Lepisosteus oculatus: one gene and its partner. The protein of the gene in region 1 purifies or fractionates together with the protein of each later gene. This does not show direct contact. Links are inferred from orthologs where the notes say so. Each region holds a gene or a part of one and is shown in the gene's direction. Other genes may lie near its edges.

Region 1 (7,188 bases):
CGGCTGCTCTGTAACCTATCAATAATGATGATGACTGCATGCCTGGCATCTCTTGTAAAGGATATAGAAGAGCACAATACGTTCTCAATTTCAGCAACAAGATCAGACCTTTCCACGGGAGGGCAGTGTTTCCTCATTTCCTGTTATGATCATCATCATTAATGGTTCTCTCAGGGGTGGGTACCTCCAGTCCTGGGCATCTGCATTTGTTTCTGCTTTTCATTCCATTTTCCATTCCATCGACTTTAATGACTAAACTGAACTAATTAAGTGGCTATGAAGTCAAATGCAAAGACGTTTTGCAGGTCTAACCAGGTGCTAATTGAGAGGTAACTCTAAAAAGGGCCAGAGCCTGGCGCTGCAGGACAGGAGCTGCCCGCCCCTGCCCGTTCACCGCCTGCTCAGTGTCGTCTGCATGCCTTCTGTTCTCACGGTGGAATTCCTCCAGTTACTTGATGTTAAAGGAGCAAGAGGGAACGGATAAGAATTTTTTTTATTTTTTCATTTGCACTGTCATTGCTTTGTTTGCACTTATTGTGGGAGGAGATGCATCCAGCTGGCTGGGGGGTGGAGAGCTGCAGCCTCTGAGCCCCCAGACCACGGCAGTGGGCTTGCAGACAGGGAGGGACTGGGGCTTTTAGAAGAGGCTGGTGAGTATTATTGTCAATGCAGGTTTTTAACTCCAGGATACTACGATTCATAGAGTTTTTAAGTTCTTTCAAATTAAAAAAAATTCTCACTTTCCTGCTCCATTCCCAATTTCCTCTAGTTACTGTTCACAGGTCCTGATTAAGCACATTAGTCTCAAGCACTCCTGCTACACGAGCTGCTGTAGCAAACCCAGCACAGTAGGTGTTCTGTAAACTCATGCTCATGTCGGATTAAGAGCAAGCCCCTGTGTTTAATGAGCAATAAGCAGTGGCTGCCTTTATCAACTAGAAACTCTTAGAGGTGTCCTCCCAAGTGAGCAGTGGAGAGTGACGGAAATCACAGGACACAGCCATGCGCCCTGCAGCCCCTGGAGACCAGGGACTGACCTGCTGCAGAGAGGCTCACTGAGGGCCAGAGCTCTAGCCCACTGTCCACTCTTGCGCCAGAGAAACTTACCTGTATGTTAAAATAGAAACTGTCACGTCTTATTTCTTTGTATTCTTTTGATCTATGGCATTGGAAAAAAATTAATTGTATCATTTCTACCCAAACAACTTAAAAAATGTTCGTCAGACAACACAAATGCAAATAAAAACTAGATTAAACAAATTGTTTTTCTGGAGTCTCTTGATTGCAGTGGGTTTCTGTCTCCTAAGATGGCAGTATAAAAAACTGTCCCTTAGCTACACCCTGCATGCTTTTCAAAAGTGTCTGTTTACCACGCTGTACGTGTATGATGGTGCAGTTAAATTATACATTTCAACTTGGTGTATTTTTTAGTTTGTTTGTCCTGGGAAAACTGGCCCTGGTGTGATTTGACATATTTGTGGGTGTGGGAGCCCTGCGATGGACTGGTGGTCGCATCCAGGGTGTACCCTACCTTGTGCTGGATAGTGTCCAGCTCCCCTGAGACACTGAAGTGGATGATCGGCATATTTTTAAAAAACAAAGGCTGCTGCAGCTTCTGTAGAAGTATTTATTAAAATCTATATATTTTATTTTAGAAAAGAAATACAAAAGATTGGTGCATGAAACTCAGAACAGTTTGATTGCAACTACAGATGATCTACAGTCTCTCTGTCAGCACGGAGGCCACAGCAGGGGCATTTCCAGACTCGCGGGAGCCCAGTACGGGCTCTGGTGCTGCAGGGCTCGACTCTCTCCTCTGGGGGGCTGGGTGGTGGCATCAGTGGTCCTTGTGTGCCTTCCGTGGGTCAGCAGCTTTGCCCAGGTTCCCTGCCTCCCTCTTCAGCACACTCAGAAGAGTCTGGGAGCTCTCCAGGATCTGGCCATTGCAGAGAGAAGGGGTAAGGAGGAGAGAGAGGAGTTCTGTTAGCCAAGACAGTTTTCATGAAATCTTCTTTGTTTCAACTCTTCTTTACGTGGAGAGTTGGGAGAACTTTGAGCCTGCCTACTCATCCCTGATATGGGAGTTGATCCCACAGGACCCTTCGGGGAAACAGTTTGATGAGACTCTGTGATTAACTAAGTGAGTCAACTGGAATCTTCTGAACTGGCTCCTCTCTTTAAAAATCTTTCAGATGTTCTCCTAAGATTAAACATGCTGAACCAGCACATACTGAAAAGAGAGTTTTCTTTTTCCTCAAAAATAAAGCTGGGAAAAAAGCTGGACACAGTGGAGCAATTAAGGAGTAGATGGGGGCTGTCATGCTGAAGAGCTCGGAGCCAGGGTACTCCAGGGAGTACAGGCACAGCGGCTCATTAGTGTTATTTTTTCATTAGAGAGATTGGGGGGTGTTAGTCTTTACACATTCCAGAGGGAGCTGGAGTACATGTCCAGGAGAACACTACCCCCCATGCAAAAACAGCAGTTATGCAAGGACATGCTGGATGCCTTTAATGCAGGGTTTACTTAAGTAGTACTGGGACTTCACAAGCACCATGCAACCACAGTGTAGAGACGCATACTGAGACTTTGCCTGATGTCTAGGATGAAGTTTGTAGGGAACAGTATCATTCTTTTATTTGATATGCTGTAGGTGTTAGAGTGTGCAGTGTATGCAGTTGAGATAGTGCGGGATGCAATGTGTGTAGATGTGTAGATGTAGTACTTAGACGTAATGGGATCCAGCACCAGTATGGCCAGCAGAGAAGTTCTCACCTTCATGTACGCGGCCTCAGTCTCAGCGATGGTGCGGTCAAAGTCATTGCGTGAGGCCAGCTTGCGCGCCAGGCTCTCATTGACACGGCTCAACTTCTCGGTCAGGATGCGGATGTCATTCTGGAGCCGAACCTTCTCCTCCTCTTCCTGCTCGATCTGTCTGTTCAGTTCATCCCTCTTCGCACACAGCTCCTCGATACCTGCGCAGCACAGTAACACAGCTCCTCAAGCACCATTCCAACGAGAACCTACAATGGGTTCAGTCAGTGTTTTAACAGGAGCAATTTCAAGTTAAGAAAACACTGAAAAAAAGGAAAAAGCCTTCTTCGTTTGCAGCTTGCACACTGATGCAGCTATATAGTACTAGTGTATTGTCGTGTCAATACATCCACTGCTGACACTGTCCCTCAGCGTGCCAGCCCAGGCCTGATGACTGCTGCTGTATTTGTGCAGTTCTACCCACCCAAAGCTCTGGGGGCCGGGGAGGTGTCATGGAGGAAGAATCACCATCTCTGCTGGAGGAGTGGACAGTCTCTGAGGTCACAAAACTGGAGGAGGAAGGGATTCTCACCCCAGCTGATCATCAGTCATTTTAATTAGAGTTAACTAAATCAGCGGAGCTGGGCACTCGAGGCATACCGTGGAATACAATGACATCACTTGTGTAATCCCACCTGGGATGTGACTTCAGGGCAGAATTCTGATTTATTGTTTGCCACTGAATGCACAGAAAACAAATTTAATAGGATTTTTGTTCTCCTGCTTGTTTGTAGTGCCTCCCAGCTACACACCCTATGTAAACACACAGCCCCCTTTCAAATCTCTGCCCACACCAGTACCAATTCCGCTCACATACAGTTCAATGACAAAGACCTACTTTGAAGCCAGATACAGTAATGAGTCCAGACATCCCTTACAGCCCACAGACACTTCACAACAGGATCGGTCCAGAGAGTCGAGCTGAGCCCGGGAGACCACAGGACTCGAACTACCCCAGCAAAAGACCCTCTCTAATCGGATTCCCACTAACCTCCTGGAAGGCTGTCTTCACTGTGCCTAATCCCGACACTCACTGCTCACTGTGAGCGCGGCCCTATGCACATCGACGGTACAGCAGTTTCAACAGTAGCTTGGAAACGCTCGATGAAAAACAGAAACAATTGCATTCAACTCAAAAATGCTAAAATCTTCAGCTATAACAAGAAGCAATCTCCCACACATTCACGCCTCTGCATCCTCCGCTGATTTCGCATTGTGTTCAGAAAACACACAAGCCGTGCCGTTATTTGACACAGGACAGCCTCCAGCTGCGGAGGCGATAGCAAAAGTATTTTATTTCTCGATTTTAAGCAGCACGAATTGCCTGCTATGCTGGACATCAGGCTATCACACCGTATTTGTTTCGCTATGGGTCTCAGTCTGACGGCTCGAGAGGATCTCTCCCGCCTCGGGTCACTCACACTTGACCAGCTCGTTGTTGTAGGTCTGCAGCGCCGCTCCCTGCTGGCTCATCCTGCCGGCTCGGCGGGACTCCTGCACGCACTGCCCGGGATGGGCCTCGGCTCCACCCGCCTCTTCGAGACGAATCTCCTTTGCTGGCACGCAGATGAGGCTCGGTCGCAGTGCCCACTTGTCAGTTCAGCTACCCTCTCCCCTGCGTTCCCGTTTCCCCTCTGTCTTCCCTGCGGAGCTGTTGTGCGGCGCTGCCCTCCTCTTCCGGTCAGTTTCCAGGGCAACTGCCTAGCGCAGCTAAACGGCCGCTCTGCTTCCGCCACACTCTACAACGCTCTCTTATTTAATGCTTCTTCTTCGCCTTGCTTTTATCGTGCAGTGTCGGTGATGAGCCGTTTCATATCCACACGGAAGGTTTACGATCTCGTTATTAGACTTAGACGTCTGTTATTAGGGGCATAGCTAACAAAATGGTGGTGACGTCATTACAGTGCGCCGCAGCCGAGCGGGAGAATGCGGTTGGGTAAAAAAATTGTACCCTGGTTTTATAGTTAGAAATATAACGTCTTTGTCTGCATGGGGTGTACATATTCAAGACAGTAATTTGAGGCTGTAGCTCCTTTCTGAGTGGGCAGTTCCAGGAGCTGACCAGGAAAGAGCGGCACCGGAACCACTCGAAGGGCTCAGAACAAGAAACCTGTTACTGATTCGGCTCCAAAAATTATAACAATCGGCGCTTTTCAGGTAAGTCGGCGACGAAACAATTTTGGGCAAAGTTCAGAGTCCAAAGAAGCTTTTGCAGGAAAGACCAGGGTGCGCGGCTGTTGAAGGAGTGTCGGGCAGTGTCTTGAGCAGATTCCCTTACCTACAGTACGACACTGCAGTGTCAGATTCGTTCGGATACTTTAACACAGAAACAAACAATACATAATAATATGTCAGTAGCTGTGGCTTATCAAAATAGGTCCCTCAATGACGTGTATCTTGGATAATGTATCAGGTTGATTTCCGGAGGAAAGGCTGATGTACTATAGGAGCGTAATTGAGAATTCATTATCATGGAATCCCCATGTTCCAGTTAAGCCGTGACAGACCTGTCACAATCCCGAGATAAGGCGTGACAGTAAGCTCTCTGGAGGCCGTGAGCACAGGACCCTGAGGGTCCTGGGGTGTTGTGCGCACTGTGACAGCTGGGCTTCCTCATGCCGGGGTGTGTTATAACATGGGGGGCTTCAAAGTCTCAGGCTTCAGGGGAAGGTTTGCGCCTCATTATCTGAAAGCCCCCTGAAAAGAAGCCCCTTCTTTACCGGGTGGGAGGGACCAGAACTAAAGTAGCTTTCCTGCTCGTGTGAGCAGGTACTGAGCCAGCAAACTGTAGCAGCTGCTCCTCTCTCTGACAGCCCGTCCCGCCTGGGGGAGCTATGGACGTGGCCCCGCTGGCCGCCGCCTGGGACAGCGTGACCTCCGTGCTGGTGAGTGGAGTCGCCCGAGGAGGGGGCAGGGCCAGGGGGTGGCACCCTTTATCCTGCTTTTCTGCTGTTCCTAACTGAGCCAGGAAGGGCATTTTCCTGCTCGAATTTTAACAAGTCTCCCTCTTCCTTCCGCCTCCCCACCCCCTTCCTCCCCCAGGTGTCCCCGGGGCCAGAACCCCCCCCTGAAGAGCCTGTGTCCCAGGCCCTGGCGGTGCTGTGCTCCTGGGGGCTCGGCGGCAGCCTGGAGGCCTGGCTCCTGGAGGCCCTGCAGACGCGGCTGCAGGCGGCCGTGGCCCCCGAGTTCTGGGCTGGGCTGGACCAGCCGGAGAACGGGCTGAGTGAGAGGGAGCGGGCCGCGCTGCTTCTGGGTGCCTTCCGGACTCTGCTGAGCCGCCTGGAGCCCTTCCTGAGGGGGCTGGGGTTGCTGGGGGCCTGGCAGGACGAGGGCCGGGGGGGCCTGAGCGGCCCCGGGGCGCAGGGCCTGAGGGACCGGGCCTTCGCGCTGATCCGGGCCATCCTGCTCTTCTCCCCCGGCGGGGTGCTGCAGGAGCGCGTGCTGGAGTTCTACAGCCGCACCTTCGCCGCTCACATGAGCCGCGAGGAAGGGCAGGACGGGGAGCCAGAGGAGGCCGAGGGCCCCCTGGGGGACGAGGGGGGGCGGTGTCCCGGCTGCAGTATCCCCCCGGAGGAGTGCTGGTGCGAGGAGGCCCTGGAGCAGCTGAGCGAGCTGAGCCACATCCTGTGAGTGAGGGGCCGCGGCGGCGGGGGGGGGGGTGTGCGGAGATGCGCGGCCATGCTGACTCTCTGGCCCCTCGCAGCTCCAGGCTGCAGCTCCAGGAGAGAGTCAGCGCCGAGTCGGTGACGTCCATCCTGCACCAGCTGATTGAGCAGCGCATGGAGCGCCGCTGCCGGGGCGAGTACGAGAGCTCCTTCATCAGCGACTTCCAGCAGGTACTGCCCCCCTCCCTCTGGCCCTCCCGCTGTGTTGCTCCTGGGGAGTTGATCATCTGCCTTGCTCACACTGAATCCCACACACGACAGGCTCAGCAGTCCTGTCTCTGTCTCTGTCACATAGTGAATACAAACAAAAACATGACCACGGCTCTTTATTTTCATTCAGTCTCTCCACTGTCACTACCAGTGTGGTGGGAGATGAGGCCAGGTTGTTGCTTAAGGATTAGAAGAATCTGGGCAACACAGATCACAGAGCGCGAGGTGTGCTGGTTCGGCCGGTCAGCCCTGTCTCCTCTCCCCCAGTGGCTGGAGCGGGTGCTGGGCTGGCTGGGCCGGGTGTTTGCCAGCGCCGGGGGGCCGGGCAGTGCCGCCTTGCAGCGATGGCGCTGCCACATGCACCAGTTCTTCTGCCGGCTGTACGTCAGCATGAGGATCGAGGAGCTGTTCAGCATCATCCGAGGTGAGACGGGAGGCCCAGGGTGGGAGGAGTGTGAGAGAGCTGAGATAGACTCGTGGAGATGGGGGGCTGTGTTTTGT
Region 2 (7,270 bases), on another chromosome or scaffold:
TTACAGAAAGAAAGAAAAATCATGAAAATGAAGTCAAATAAAAGGGTCAAGTTGACATAATATTGTATTGTGTGACAGCAAATAAACAACTGTGTGGCCTTTTGTCATTATTTTTTGGTATTTCTTGGTTTCATAAAAAATTGGAACTTCTGCTTCAGAGGTGTCCAAGTACAACACAGATTTCGTGTCTTGAAGCATGTGAGTGAATTACTAAACAATGAAGACAGAAAGTTTTTTTTTCAAGCATATGTTTTAGAAACAACTTACACCAATGAACGTATAATGAGATTTAATACCCACTAAACAGTACAAATCATTTTTTAGCAGCATGGTGCTATAGCAGTACTATATAGACATGGTTGGATCTCAGGTTTGAGTCTGGCCTGGGTGGCTTCTGTGTAGTGTTTGTATGGTTTATTCCTGACTACATTTATTTTTTGACCAAAGGCTCTTATTTTCTCTCACTATCCAAAGAATTAACCTAGACATCAACCTGTCAAGGTTAATTGGCATGTCTAGACTGACCAGTCTGTGCGTCATGCCATAGACTATCTGTGGCCTGTGGTGTTTTATGCCTTGTGCTGCTGGGTTTGGCTCGAGATCCACACAGCTCTGTTTTGCGGTGGCCATGTGGGACCATTACCTTTGCTGACTTTAGTCGAGGCAACCTCTTAAATTGCCAGTACTAACTGACAACATTAATTGATCTGCTTGCTTCTTTAAGTTCCAAAAACCCCTGAATCACAGAAACTGGTATAAGGGTGATAATTAAAAGTCCCAATCACCTTTTAAGGATCTGAGAGAAGTTTTAAAAATACTGCCCGAAAATCCAGCTGAAAACCATCAGCTTGTAATTAAGAACTCTGCTAGAATAACAAACAGCACTTTCTCAAGGCTCAGGTTTGGGAATGACTTCTGTATTCGATGAAGAGCTCATTGTGAGTGGATGGATATATACATTTACAGTGGAACTCTGAGATCATCTCACTCACTTTCCACTTTTTGAATTCCTGTTTAAGCAGCCATGGGCAAAAACCATAGTTCAAGTAGATAGCTGCATCAGCATGCGTAGGCTGCAAAGGAACAAGTAAAGGTTTATTCCAGGCTGAAAAGAGAAGAAAAGAAACACAACATTTTTGCTCTGGAGCCTTCTTCACGTCACCCACAGTTGCTTTGATTATTTGCAAAGAAAAGGTGTTTAACTCGAAAAGATCTGACTGAGCTGGGAGACTGCAAGGTTAAGTCTGTCCCGTTTTAGTGCACCTTACACCCCATGTTAAAAAAAAAGTAAAAAGGAGTCTGGGCTTCAAAATGAACTCCCTTACTGTAATTGTCAATCCTACACAATTCACATTCACAATTCCCAGTTGATCCTTTATGTTATTTACTATTACTGTTAATGCCCCAGCTAAAGTTGTGATAACAATGTTAGCAATGCGTTTTCCTGGTTTTACAATCAAAACTGAGTTTTCAAAGATTGGGAGAGGCAGAGGTGTGGCATATAAAAAAAGAAAACTTTTATCTACAGTCTGCAAAGATATTTGAGATTGTGCTGCACTACACACATCTTTTTTAACACAGGTATGAAGGCAGCCTCTTGTTTGGGGGGTTTCTTTCATTCATATGGGTATTCAGGGCTTTCATGTGCAGATCTGCAGACATGTAGCCTATGCCTAGAAGGGAAAATGAGGCACCATCACATTCATTTTGAGTGTTGTTAGACACACCTATAACTACTGTATGTGAATAAGAGGACTCACCTCTGAAGGATGAACCAATCAGCCTGTTTGGTGTATAAGACGCCCCTCCTAGCTGTCTTGCATTAACAGTGATTTTTACCATTTGTTTCCTGAAACTGATTAAAAGTGGCTACAGTTAACAACAGCAATGTATTTTCATTGGACCAATTTTGATGAAGCCTTGGTCATTAATTTATAAGGAATGATATGCAAGAAAATCACAGCAAAGCAAAGAAAGCAAAAAAAAACATTTTTTTATTTACTTGAAATTAAAAATGAAAACACATTTTTTGCTGAAATGTTGATAATACAAAAGTGTCTCCATTTTAGAACATAAAAGGTTTGGTTTGGCTCATCTAGCCTCTATGTAGTGTGTTTGGTAAGTATGTTCTTTATTTTCTTCTTAGTATATCTAAGATTCTTACTTCAGAGTAAACAATGATGATGTGCATTCTTGAGATAAAATTAAGAGAGGGAAATTATTTCTTTTTCAGTTCAGAACTATCTTAGAATTCCAGTCCATTGTTCATGCAAATTACTCCCAAACAGATTATGCAAAACAATCTCTAATATGAGTCTATTAATACACTAGATTATAATTATCCACCACAGCTAGGGAATGCAATATGACTTTGTTACAGTAGGTGTCAAAATAATTGTTGAGGAAATTATTCTATTAATACAAATACAGTATTACAATAAAACATCTATTTCCATCATGAAAAAAAGATTTATGGTGAGGGGTTATGTGCAAATACCTGTACTAACATGCCAGTGAAAAGGTGATGTTGGAAATTGATGAATATTGCCATTAATATACTTCACAATTTAAAAAAATAAAACATTTACTAATCTGTTCATAGACACCCACATATTTAAATAACATTCATAAATATTTGTATTCAAAACAGCTTTAAAAGGTTAATTCACAAATGAAGATGCTGTAGGGATTAAAGGTATTGTATACTCAGATTGAGAATGGGTTAACAAACAGGAAAGAGGACATCATTGCAAAGAACATAACTTCTGAAAGCTGTGGCCTGCTGTGCTAGACTGCTTAGCCAGAACTGTATCAATGATTGACATTGTGATGTCATCACCTAAATCATTTCTAAGTGAAATTTTAAAATTATACAAAATAGTGGGGAATAGCAGACACAGAAACAGAACCAAGGGAATTAAAAAGAAACTTGCACACAACCATTTGATTAATGTTGATATTTGTAAAGTGATCTATACAGGAAGTAAGGAACATATTCTACGGTATATATCACATGGGTGATTCTAAGCTACAGGCACCTATGCAAGAAAGATGTCTGGGTTTAATATCCTTCATGTCTTCATCTTGACAATGTGGGGAAGCAATAAAAAAGGAAACAGAATGCTTAGGAATATGGCACGTTTAAATCATGGAAAGTCGTGCTTCAGATTTTACAGCACACTAGTAAGATCTTGTTTAGAACATTGTTTCCAGTTTTGGCAACCATATCACAATAAGGACATCACGACAATAAGATTGATTCTTGGCCTGAAATGTCTGTCGTATACAGACAGGTTGAAGGAGATCACAAAAAAGCTACAGAACAAATGTTCTCATCGCTATAGAATAAAAGGGATTAAAAGAAGATTTTAGAAGAGTATTTTAAATCCTCAAGTAGTATAAATAGATTTTCAGCATGGAATAAAACTGTTTTTTTATATTTATTATTTTTTGTTAAAAAGAGGCAGCCTGGGGAACTATTTCTCACTCATCAATGACACAAATACACAAGTTTGCAATTTGGAAAGTAAAAGTGAACTTCGGATAGACAGTAAAGCACATTTACACAAAGAGTTGCGAGTGTCTGGAACAGGCTTCCACCCAGATAGTTGAAGCCTTTTAAATTTTTGATTAACTTTGTTTGCACACTCCCATATAAGCATGATTGCACTAATGCTTTTCACTCGCAACATGTGTAATATTATAATGAATAATAATTCAGTTTACTAGCGCTGCATAAACAAATAACAAATCATATAACTTCACGTACCAAAATACAAACCATTAATTTAAAATGACTATAAATAATTTCAGGATTCTAAAATATTTCAATCACAGACGTAATGCTAATATACTCAGTATTATTTCAAGATAGTTGCATAATGAGCAGCTCAAACTACAACTAGGACAATAGTCTCCTGAAGTTCTTTTAAATTTGTGAACCGATTAATCGTAGCTTATCTTTTCATTGACCTTTTCCAGAATAAAGAAACGCTACACTTAATTTTAGCCAAAAGGCAGAGAAGCGTAACATAAACAATAGTTAATACAAAGACCAGAAATGTTGAAGTACTGTATTATGTTCGGCATAAACTAAAATCTTTTACTTTAAAGATCCCTTTAAATACCCGCTGTTCTCTCGCGGGCTTCTGTTGCATAGCAACGCCTGGTGCAGTGTGGGTTTGTATTGATTTTCTGACCAATAAGATTTTCGCTCCTCCGTGCGGAAAGCCAATCACATCTGAGAAACGAAACCACGCCAATTTTAAAGCTTGAACTTCCTACTCTCCTAGGTGATCGCGTTATTTTGTTTGTCAATAACGAAAGGATAAATGTGAATGTTCTTTTTTTTTTAAAGAAAGTTGTCAAAGAAGGCTGCTAAAACAAATATTTGGCAGTCACCTATCAGTATTTCTTTGAAAGGGGGATTTCCGCTGTTTGAAGAGATTGTCCTTGCAAAAATCTGGATTTAACATTTACTTTCTGTTTTAAGTTCGTTTAAAGATGCCGTCTCGCGTAGAAGATTATGAAGTTTTATACACAATTGGATCTGGATCTTATGGAAAATGTCAGAAAATAAGACGAAAGACAGATGGAAAGGTATACATTACTTCACTGTGTTGTTTGGTTGCATTACATGACCGACTTCATACTCGTTCTTTTGAAATGAAGGATAATGCAAAATACGAACGCTATCTTGGAACGTCTTTTTAAAATACATTAACAATATGCATTTTTGTTCCTCGTCACGCTTTTATGATGTTGTGTGTGATGCAATCATTGTGCATAGAGAAGCGCTTTCATTTTAAGATGACGTTACCGTGCAGTTAAAACATGTATCGTCAGTATTTGTAGTACTTTTATCTGCTGCGCTCCCAGGTACTTGTGTGGAAGGAGCTGGACTATGGCACCATGACTGAAGCCGAAAAGCAGATGCTGGTGTCCGAAGTGAATCTCCTCCGTGAGCTCAAGCACCCCAATATCGTTCGGTACTACGACCGCATCATCGACAGGAGCAACACCACGCTGTATATCGTCATGGAGTACTGTGAGGGGGGGGATCTGTCCAGTCTCATCACCAGGTGTATTAAAGAAAGGTGCGTACGTACACTGTATGAGTGTACCTCCCTTGATTCTCTTTTCTTGGGTGCCTGCCAGTTACCGGTGTTTAAGTAATACTCCGACTTCTAGACTCGAATTACTGGGGAGTATTCGGAAGTAAATGAAATTAAAAGCAGTCCGTCTCTTTAGCCACAAGTTAAGATATTAAGATTTTTTTTTTGCAGAGTCCAGCAATGCTAGGAAGAAGGCAAACGTCAGTGACGGTTATATTCACTCATGGCTGGATCACAATGCAAGGGAGAAATAAGTCATGCAAACAAAAAGCAAACGCTAACAATGCCAAACGGGTCTAATGCCCTGGTCATACATCATACATAGCCTTCCCATTATTTCCTTGGGGTAGGGAACTGCATAATTACTGTACGGCCCCTTTAATTGGTCCAGGCTTAAACAACTAAGAGGTCTCTGGAGCTACACCATTACTGAATAAAACATATGCCTGAGACTTTGCCAAACTAGCCTCTAAACATCTCACTTATTTTCTTTCAGGTTAGTTTGCTTTTATATTCATGGCATGGTAGTGTAGATAAACAAGCATTTGATTTCTCGACACCTTTAATGCCATTTGTTCCTAAGATGGAGTAGGCCATTTGGCCCATCAAGCCCACTTGGTAGCTAGTTATTGATTGCTCTGAGGATCTCATCCAGTTATTTCATGACTGAAGCTAGAGTGTATTTTAACAACTTGGTGGGATAGCCTGTTCCATACTCCCACAGCCTTCTATGTAGAGTAGCTTTTGTTCTTGGAATGAAATGCAGGACGTTTCCAGTTGTGATCTCTTGTTCACTTGACCCCCTATCTTACTTTTGTCTTTTTGACCACTTAGCCCGTTTAGGAGCTGGTCGGTAATTGATCCGGCCGCTTCTTGAAAGAAACCAGGGAATCGACTTCAAAAATGTGGCTGTGGAGCTTGTTGCACACTCCCACACCCTTTTGTTCTTGGCTTTAAATAGTTTCAACAACAAGTTTCCACTTGTCCTCTGGTTTGTGTTTCTGAAGGACTCTGCTGTGTTGATTTTCTCAGTGCCTTTGAGGATTTTGAATTCTTGACCCCCCTGATTAGTCATCTTTGTTCAAGACCAGAAAAGGTTCACCTCGTTTAGCCTGTCAATGAAGGATATAACCTTAAACCGGGACTGCATCAAATTGCTCTTCTCTGGACTGGTTCAGGAGCCGCTTTGCCATGTGCCTTGAATCTGCCAGGTGTTTTTCCCAGTCTGTTCATGCTTTCCTGGCTTTTGTTCTGGTTTTGAATAGATGTGTGGCTGTAATTCAGACTGCTCTTGTTCTGTTCTTTGAGCTATCTAATTTGAATCCTGAGTATTACCGTTGTGCATGAGTTTATTAGTACTCTATAAAATATTCTACACAATTCATTAATAAAGCATTTTGGATGTAACCGTTTTCTAATCATTATTAAGTAGGTAAAACAGATTTGCCATCACTTTGAAGCTGGTGGTGCTGGCTCTGAAAGCTGTTTGAAGACCCGACCTAAATGTCCTTTATGATGCTTTTCTTCTATTGCTGGACATGGGTGTAATAATGGATCTGTTTTCATAAAAGCTGTGGTGTATATGGCTGCTGGCTAGATCTTTTCCACTCTTAGCCAGCTATAGGTAGCCCTTATACTTTGAAGACCAGCATTGCATGAGAGGGTTTTCCATCGAATAAAACTGAGTGCTCCATGTTCCTTCCCTCGCAGGCGATACCTGGATGAGGAGTTCATCTTGCGGGTGCTCACCCAGCTGGCTCTGGCGCTGAAAGAGTGCCACAGAAGAAGTGATGGGGGCCACACGGTGCTACACCGGGACCTCAAGCCAGCCAACATCTTCCTTGATGCTAAGCAGAATGTCAAGCTGGGAGATTTTGGTTTGGCCAGAATATTAAATCATGATACCAGCTTTGCCAAAACCTTCGTGGGAACTCCCTATTACATGTCTCCAGTAAGTTAAAATCTTCTCTTCTAATCGGCCCGCTGGTTAATTATCAGGGATGTAAGAATTAAATATTAGATGGATCCACTCTGAAATAATTTTTTTTTTTTAAATCGGTGTATGGGTTTGTCAGCTTTTCCTGGTGATGTTCATGGCTAAAAAGAAATATCAGAATACAGCATATTTTTCTTAAAACTAAGATCGTTTATTTCTG

The links.
Region 2: the proteins of anapc2 (region 1) and nek2 purify together in Homo sapiens (affinity purification with mass spectrometry; 4 studies listed by BioGRID and IntAct, with this or other methods). This does not show direct contact. The link is inferred for Lepisosteus oculatus from reciprocal best matches to the Homo sapiens genes ANAPC2 and NEK2.

What each region holds. Positions count from the first base shown.
Region 1 is NC_090719.1:331,802-338,989, forward strand, and holds the start of anapc2 (anaphase-promoting complex subunit 2), read left to right. Parts: upstream 1-4,165; 5' UTR 4,166-4,180; coding exon 4,181-4,492; exon of another isoform or gene 4,493-4,969; intron 4,970-5,625; coding exon 5,626-5,697; intron 5,698-5,854; coding exon 5,855-6,438; intron 6,439-6,515; coding exon 6,516-6,648; intron 6,649-6,954; coding exon 6,955-7,111; intron 7,112-7,188. UniProt on the Homo sapiens protein: Together with the RING-H2 protein ANAPC11, constitutes the catalytic component of the anaphase promoting complex/cyclosome (APC/C), a cell cycle-regulated E3 ubiquitin ligase that controls progression through mitosis and the G1 phase of the cell cycle.
Region 2 is NC_090697.1:46,237,175-46,244,444, forward strand, and holds the start of nek2 (serine/threonine-protein kinase Nek2), read left to right. Parts: upstream 1-4,255; 5' UTR 4,256-4,503; coding exon 4,504-4,599; intron 4,600-4,610; exon of another isoform or gene 4,611-4,878; coding exon 4,879-5,096; intron 5,097-6,824; coding exon 6,825-7,065; intron 7,066-7,270. UniProt on the Homo sapiens protein: Protein kinase which is involved in the control of centrosome separation and bipolar spindle formation in mitotic cells and chromatin condensation in meiotic cells.